2 linked regions of the Lytechinus pictus genome follow. Each later gene encodes a partner of the first gene's protein in a complex. Links are inferred from orthologs where the notes say so. Each region holds a gene or a part of one and is shown in the gene's direction. Other genes may lie near its edges.

What was found.
Region 2: H/ACA ribonucleoprotein complex subunit 2-like protein (region 1) and H/ACA ribonucleoprotein complex subunit 1-like share a complex: the UniProt entries of both Drosophila melanogaster proteins name them as parts of the box H/ACA small nucleolar ribonucleoprotein (H/ACA snoRNP) complex. The link is inferred for Lytechinus pictus from reciprocal best matches to the Drosophila melanogaster genes NHP2 and Gar1.

The regions. Positions count from the first base shown.
Region 1 is NC_087256.1:25,670,243-25,674,168, reverse strand, and holds the start of H/ACA ribonucleoprotein complex subunit 2-like protein, read left to right. Parts: upstream 1-1,414; 5' UTR 1,415-1,548; coding exon 1,549-1,711; intron 1,712-3,926. Other genes in the region: uncharacterized protein LOC129272326, read right to left, coding at 1,089-1,225. UniProt on the Drosophila melanogaster protein: Component of the box H/ACA small nucleolar ribonucleoprotein (H/ACA snoRNP) complex, which catalyzes pseudouridylation of rRNA. This involves the isomerization of uridine such that the ribose is subsequently attached to C5, instead of the normal N1.
Region 2 is NC_087262.1:10,790,338-10,794,263, forward strand, and holds the start of H/ACA ribonucleoprotein complex subunit 1-like, read left to right. Parts: upstream 1-1,440; 5' UTR 1,441-1,776; intron 1,777-3,926. UniProt on the Drosophila melanogaster protein: Component of the box H/ACA small nucleolar ribonucleoprotein (H/ACA snoRNP) complex, which catalyzes pseudouridylation of rRNA. This involves the isomerization of uridine such that the ribose is subsequently attached to C5, instead of the normal N1.

The DNA.
Region 1 (3,926 bases):
ACCATTTTTTAATACTGGTCCGAACCTAAAATTTACTGGTCTCCAAAAATAAAGAAAAACATAAAAAAGGCTTTAGTTTATTTTGCCGTCTTTTATTGCTTATTGTTATCCCCCCCCCCCCCAAAAAAAAAACAGTACACAAACACATAATTCATGAGAGCCATTTCTCAATTTTGCAGAACATTTTTAGTGAGACACCAGAGCCATAATTTCTAAAAGAGAAGAAAATATAATTTGTATCAGTAGGGTATAATTTTTACTGATCATTTCGGACCAGTAAATCTTGCCATTTCTGAAAAGTTACTGGCCCCAGCAACAGCAATTTTTACCGGTCTGGCACCGTCGGACCAGTGCTAGTGTCGTGCGTGCGCTGGTTTATTGATATGTGACCATAATGACATTGGGACTTTTTGCCTTTGCGACTTTCTAGGAAAATGATTCTTCGGTCTTCTGCAGATACATTTCTTTTTCGGAAAACAAGACTCAGAGTTCTTTCCCTATTCGCTAGCACGTCAAAACACACTAAAACATGTCCCAACAAAAAATTTAAAATATCCCCAAAACTTTGAGATAATCGACATTAAATCAACAACTTGAAATTCTGATATTTTTTGCCGACATCAATTTTATTTATCATATCATGTTTATTGGCGGCGTGCATCGCCTATCATCATCCATTCTGATCACAATTCACAGCTCTAGTCTGACTTACACTACAGTACACTACACTGCAGGCATACAGCATTAATGCTTTCCATAAATTGGCTTAGCTGCATAGCCATAGTCATTCTAGGCGGCTAGGGCCTAACCTAGGCGGCTAGGGCCTAACGTTAGGCCCTAACGCCGCCCTATGGCTATGGCTATGCTATTGCTATGTCGCGTCGTGACGCGATTTACACATCCGACTTCTTTGCGGAACTTGGAGTTGCCCCGCGAATTGCGTCGTCGATCGCGTGTGACGTGTGTAGGCCACGGAAATTGAAGGCAGAACTTGCCATGCCACACACACATTTTTTTCGGGGGGGTGTCTATTTACCGCTAATTATTTAGGGAAAAAAAACATTATTAAAGTTACACCATACACGAACCTCGATCTATATGATCCTGGAGATGTTTCTGCATTTTCTCCTCCGTCATTCCCCATGCTTGAGTCGTCATTTTGCTGATTCTGAGCTGAAAAACCATCGCTCCCAGGCGCGTCTGTTTCTTTCTGTTCATCCGCCATGCTTGGTAATTAAGAGTTGCCAATTTGATTATTAATTTCGCTTTTATATCTAAGGGTTTTATACAAATAAGTATTTTTCTACTTATAAATATATTATTTTAAAGAAAGAAAATAGCTTCGGGGTGCAAAAGAATAGTTAATGCAATTCTTGAACGACGTTGCAAATTAATATGCGACCTTACAACACAGTAAATGTCACCGGAATCTCTGAAAGCGCCACGCCGCCTCCATCGGCGGCATAGCTTGTACGTATTTTTACGAATCGTATTGCTGTTACGTTGCGGTACAAAACACGTGGACCAATCAACATCATAAGCCTAAAAATGAAGTCACCAGCAGCAGTAAAGAATGGGATTGATCGCGCTGATGATGAAGCTGAAACACAAGAACTCACATATGATGAACTTGTTGCTCGTGTCTCACCCATAGCAAATCCTTTGGCTTCAAGGAAACTCACGAAAAAATTGTACAAAGTCATCAAAAAAGGTGAAATTGGAAATACAGTCCCATTCATTCGAATTTACGTTTGTGTTCATATTTATAAAATTATTTTATGTTTGTAATGTAGCCCACTTACATTGACGAGTGGATACCATGACCATGTGCAACCAAAAAAACACGTGAAAAGGATGTCTTTTTCAAGATAGGGTACGTTACGTAACGTAAACTAAATGGTAATATAAGGGTGTCAAAAACACTAAAATAACAGAAAAAGGGTAGGCCTATCTATTTTTGCTACCTACTAACTACTTCCAGTAGAGGCGCACGGCCAATATTGGAGACTGTCTCCAATGTGGGAGATTATCTCCAATATCAGAGACTTTTGTAAAGAATTTGGGTATCCAATTTCAGAGACAGTCTCCAGTTTTGGAGTCCAATTTCCTTTGTTTACATTTGCTGCAAAAGGATTACCTTGGCGGCAAATTAAAATGTGATAAGCAGATTCCTCATGAAAAATTACCCCTTTTCACCGTCTACTTTAAAAATTCACCGTCTACTTTTATTTTGATAAGGAATTTTGTTGTCAATCACACACAACACAAACAGACAAACGGGCTTCTGACCTCAGTGAGACAAAATTTTGGGTGGAAAAAATCATACTTTTGTTGGTGTTGTTTCTTTTGTCCTTTTGCAAAGCAAGTCTCCAATGTGGGAGATTGTCTCCCCTATTGGAGAGAGTCTCCCATATTGGCCGTGCGCCTCTACTGACTTCACTTTACGTATTTAGGGTCAAATTTGCGATGGTATAAAAATAAAGACTAAATTGTTTTATAAAATTAAAGGATGTACTTTTTGCCCAAAGAGTCAACACTACGTCACTTTACGTGTTTAGAGTACGATTTGCGCGAGGTGTGGGAGGTGAGGCTGTACTAATAAACCCAACGATTGTAGAAGGTAAAACCGACGTCAATGACATAATTAAAAATAAAATATTGCTGTACTTGTTTAGGGGTTACTTATTTACTTGGATGTTGAGACATAAAGCAATATGCTTATGTGCCCCTCGTTGAGTTTCTTATCTTTGGTACAGAAGGTCTGTACTTCAGAGGTTCAATTCAGAGAATACTTGCCAAGAGTATCGTTTTGTTTCCAATACTTAATGTTAAGGGTAGGGTTTCATCACACGCAATTACTTGTTATTGTTAAGGGGTGCATTTTCAGAATATGGAAAATCCGTGTTTACTTAGTTTAGGGTGCTTTTTCGAGACCCCATGGTCGCGCATGGTATCCACTCGTCAATGGAAGTGGCCCTCCTGGGGTTTGTAGATGGCGGTATGAGAGTTGGAATGAGATGAATGCGGTATGCCACTTGGAATGAGAAGAATAAAATTATCACTCTAAACCACATTGTCATTGAGTTAAAAATTTAATCGCCATACTTTTTACATCGAAACAAATACATTCAAAAGTATTGCAGAGACCAGGGGTGGTATTCTGAAAATTGTCTTAACCTTTCTTGTAATTCAGCAAGATAAAACAGCTTGCTAAAATTCTCTTAAATCGGTATTCTGAAAATTGTCTTATCTCTGACTCTGTAAGGACGTCCCCTATTTTATCTCTGACACGCCAAATATTTTATCAACCAATAATTAAACTTTTTATCAGTAGAGGCGCTGGTCAGAAAATTGGGATTTTCCCAGTTAATACTGTTTATACAGATCTGTTTCGGTCAACCAATAGAAGCGTCCTTCTTAAAAAATTGTTAAGTGCATTGTTGACACGCCGCGTAATTTCCTTTGCGCCACCGATGCTTATGCTTGTACACTACTGCGCTAAAATACATGTGGCTTTTCCCAGAGTCATATTTTCTTTGAAAAGGACCATCATCTCGAATGCCAATTTTCAATTGCTGAAGAGTCTAACAATCCGTAGTTATAACTTCTTTGGAATGTCTCCTTTTGTAAAACATGATGTTCTTGTGGGATGCAGCAAGAAATTATTATTGTTGACTGAGAAGTATCGCATTCAACATTAAGTTACAATAGCCCCGTACCTCTTGTAAATTTTCTTGTATTTTTGCAAGGAAGTCATCAGAACGCAAAGATAAGAGAATTTTCAGAATACCTTTTACATACGGTATATCTCAAAATGTTATCTTGCGCACAAAGATATTTAGGCGCCTCATTACGCATCATTATAGCTCTGACATACGCGCTCAGTGAAAGTTACAAGAAAAGATACAAGAATTTTCAGAATACGG
Region 2 (3,926 bases), on another chromosome or scaffold:
ACTGAGCTTCACACATTTTACCTATCCACTTGTTCTAACACTGTCTATATCAGGGGTTCTCAAACTTTTTTTGTGAAGGGCCAGATGAGACTCCAAGTATACCTGAAAGGGCCAGGGTGAAGTGGATACTTAGAAAAAAATGTGCGCGAAGCGCAAAGACCCTATTGCGGCCGGGGTCCTAGATGCTCTCTTGTGCAATCTGGCCGTTGTCTTATTTTGGGAGCATTTAATCCAACAAATTTATAACAGTTTCATATGGAACGCAGGCAAAATTAGAAAAGATTTCAAAATACAGCGAGAGTCAATATTGATAACAAAATTGTAGTACTTTGTTAAAAGGAATCTAGATTGTATACCTTTACATACCTGGTATTGGGGAGTTAGATAATGTCTTAATTGAAGTATCAATATTTTTTGTAGTCAAAGTAGAATGAATAATAGAGCATGTCTGTTGTAGACTTTCACAAGGATGTCAGTCTCCTATAGTCACTTTCAATATGGGAAAAGTGACAGTCTGTCAGCAACAAGTTGCTTGAACCTTGACACAAAAGGTGTAATTGCCAGACGAAGGCACTGGTGCAAAATTAATGTTCACTGGTCAAGCAGGGGCCGCGGAAGCGGGGGGGGGGGGGGGGCTTCACCCAAAACCATGTGTACAAAAACGTAAAAATTACCATATGATTGTGATTTTTTGCATGGCCAGCCCCCCCCCCCCCCCCACTTTCAAAACCGTTCCGCGGCCCCTGTCAAGGTACTTCGGTATGAATTAATTCTTTAAAATGTTCATTGTGGAAAATGCACTTTCGCACCTGTATGTAGATCCAAACATGGTGAGAACAGCGCTCTAGTCATCTAATAATTAGAAAGTAGATCGAACAGACAGCTGCTCCACTAAACTTTGTTTAAATGTCAAATTAATTTGACTGCCATTACTTTTATTACGGTTAGGTCTACAACTATACACAATGTAATCATATTGAGCTATGTTTCATATTGTGACTTAATTAAAAGTGATTAAAAAAAACCCAGCAGAGTCTCGCGGGCCGGATTGAGAAGCTTCGCGGGCCGTAGTTGAACTGTTTATGAACCAATTTTTTTTCTTTGACATTGTGCAAAAGGTTTAATCGGGGTTGTCAATTTTTTTTCTTCAAAAAATTATATTTTAGTTCATTTTTTCTGTATGATTCTTGCCAAAAAAAATGAGTAATCAGTCCGCTTCTCACTAGTTGTCTACTACAGACTATGCCTGTGCCTCTCGATCCGTCTTCCACCCGAGTCTAATATAAATTCCTCTGTTCACCCTTCTCTCATACCATCTTCTTTTCCCTCTTACTTATTTCTGTATTCTCTTTCATCTTATCTCATAATCTCTTCTCTATAAAGTCTAATTATTTTTCTTTTAGGTGCTTCTCCCTATAGTCTTGAGGACGCAATGATGATGACTTTTAAAATCCTGTCATATATATACTTCTTCATCATTATGACATGATTTTAAAAGTCATCATCATTGCGTCCTCAAGACTACTTCTCTCCCCCCCCCCCCTTTCTCTCCCTTTCTCTCTAATCATATTTTATGAATGTGAGTCAATGGTAGACTTGTTCTTACTGTGGGTCGATGTTTTGGAAAGAAGTGGTCGCATTGCATTGTGAGGACGAAGTAACATATTGTTTGGAACCGAGACACGTGGGTGCTAGCTTAGGTTGACTTTGTGATACTGTCGTGTCGTAAAACCCACTATTTCTGCCTTTCAAAGTAAATTGGCGTAAGTGCACAAGGTTAGTATGGTTCGAAATAAATATCCCCATTTATAATTAATATTCATTTTGTTAACAGTCTTCCCAAATTTTTTATTAAAGATAAAACATTTGAGCATTGCTCCGGCCTGCGGATACGGTAATTCCATTCTGCTCGGACCGGCCCGAGCGGGGAGCTTCCCACTCCCAAACACGGAGGCTCCTCGCGGTGAGTTCGCTAGCTATCGCCGTTCGGCGGGTCCGGTGCTAATGCAGTTTCGCACCTGCCGACTTTGACTTTGTCTTTGAGAGAATTTCCCCACCAATAGATAGGGACAATGATTTTCCTGTTTCTAAAAATTGCCTCTTCCGGTTTAGAAAAATCTTAAACATTTCAAATTCTGTTTCAGCAGGACAAAACGTAACCCAGGGAGGGAGCCCAGGCATGCCAGGGCAGGAGCTAGGAGCATGAGGAGCTTACCGTGTATTTGACCATAGTCACCGGACTAGGGTGATTTATGGTCTAAATATTTCTCCAAATTAATTGTGAAAACAGAAAGTATACAATTGAATTACCACGATTATATGGATGAAGGTCTAAGTACGAGTGGCAGTTTCCTGACATCTGGGCACAAACTGGAACCTAAAAAAAACGGAAAAGTTCTCTCCTACCCCCGTCTCGATCGGCCATTTTTGTTAAAAATCGTAACAAAATGGCCGATCGAGACTGGGGTAGAGGAGAGAACTTTTCGTTTTTTTTGAGGTTCCAGTCTGTGCCCAGATGTCAGGAAACTGCCACTCGTTAGACCTTCATCCATATAATCGTGGTAGGTATACTTTCTGTTTTCACAATTCATTTGGAGAAATATTTAGACCATAAATCACCCTAGTTCGGTGACTATGGTCAAATACACGGTAAGCTCCTAGGCTCCCGCCCGTGCAGCGGGCGGGAGCTTCCTGGGTTAGACGAAACGGAAATTCTGTTTTTGTGTATATGGAAAATTGACGATTCCGTTAAACGGAATTGCCAATGGCAATGACTAAATTAGTAATGAGTCGCGAGGTCAAAATTTGTATCTGCCACTGTACTAACATTGCTTTAAAATCAATTTTAATTGAAGAGATTCGAGTAGATCTACAAAAACTATTATTATTAAGAAAAATCATTAGACCCTAACTGAGATTTTATTGCTGATTTGGGGAATTTTTGGACATAGGTTTGACTTTGAGCAGTCAACGACTTTCGCCTAATTGCCATTTTGGATTTGTGGAATACCGCGATCATGATAATAAGACCGAAGTCCGAACGCAGACATGGCAGAGCCAGAGGGCAGCAACATGGCCGTGTTTCTGCCTTAATACTGGCTTTATGCTGTCGTGAGTGTAAACTAATTTCGAGTGCAGTCACGATGTGTGGATTGTCATGATTGTTGTAGCGAAGTAAGATAATAATAATGATTGATAGGCATTTATATAGCGCCATCTATCTAGAAATAATCTATTCATACTCATACTCGTACTGTCATAGGCGCATTGTTTATTAATATTACCTCGTCCTCGGCTTTACTCCTTTTTAGGCTTTAGATCGTGTGTTTTTCCAGTTGATATTTGTATTTCGTTGAGAATTTGGGAGTAATTTCTGTTGCTATTCTGTGCATTTAGAGAAAAAATATGTTTTCCGTGATTTTTCGTTTGAAAAGCCATTTTCCGTTTCAAAAGGTTGATTCCGTGAATTACGTCCGTTTTCCGCAATAGCGGAAAGTCATTGTTAACAATAACATATTTCATATAGCAAGTCTCTCAATCACATTTTAAGATAATATATACCCACCACTTTACCGAATGTCGGGAACGGTTATATTTCGGGCCTTTCGGCTTCGATCTCGATGTCATATGACATTTGCGAACAATTACTGGTGGGAAGTTCTCTCGAAGTTGGTTCGAAACTTAATTAGCGCCGCGGGGCCGGCGTTGAATTTGATCCGGGCTGTAGTGTAATTCATAGTTAACTTCGTGATGCTGAATTTTCTGATCGATCATACACAGTAATCAATGCAATCCATTGTAATCAGCCCATGGTTGATCATCTTGCTAAACCAGAAAAAAAGGAAGAAGACTAGCTCTAGACTCTAGTCTAAAATTATTTTTAATGTGTCATTGTGTGTGTGTGTTGGCCCCATTTTCAATGCGTT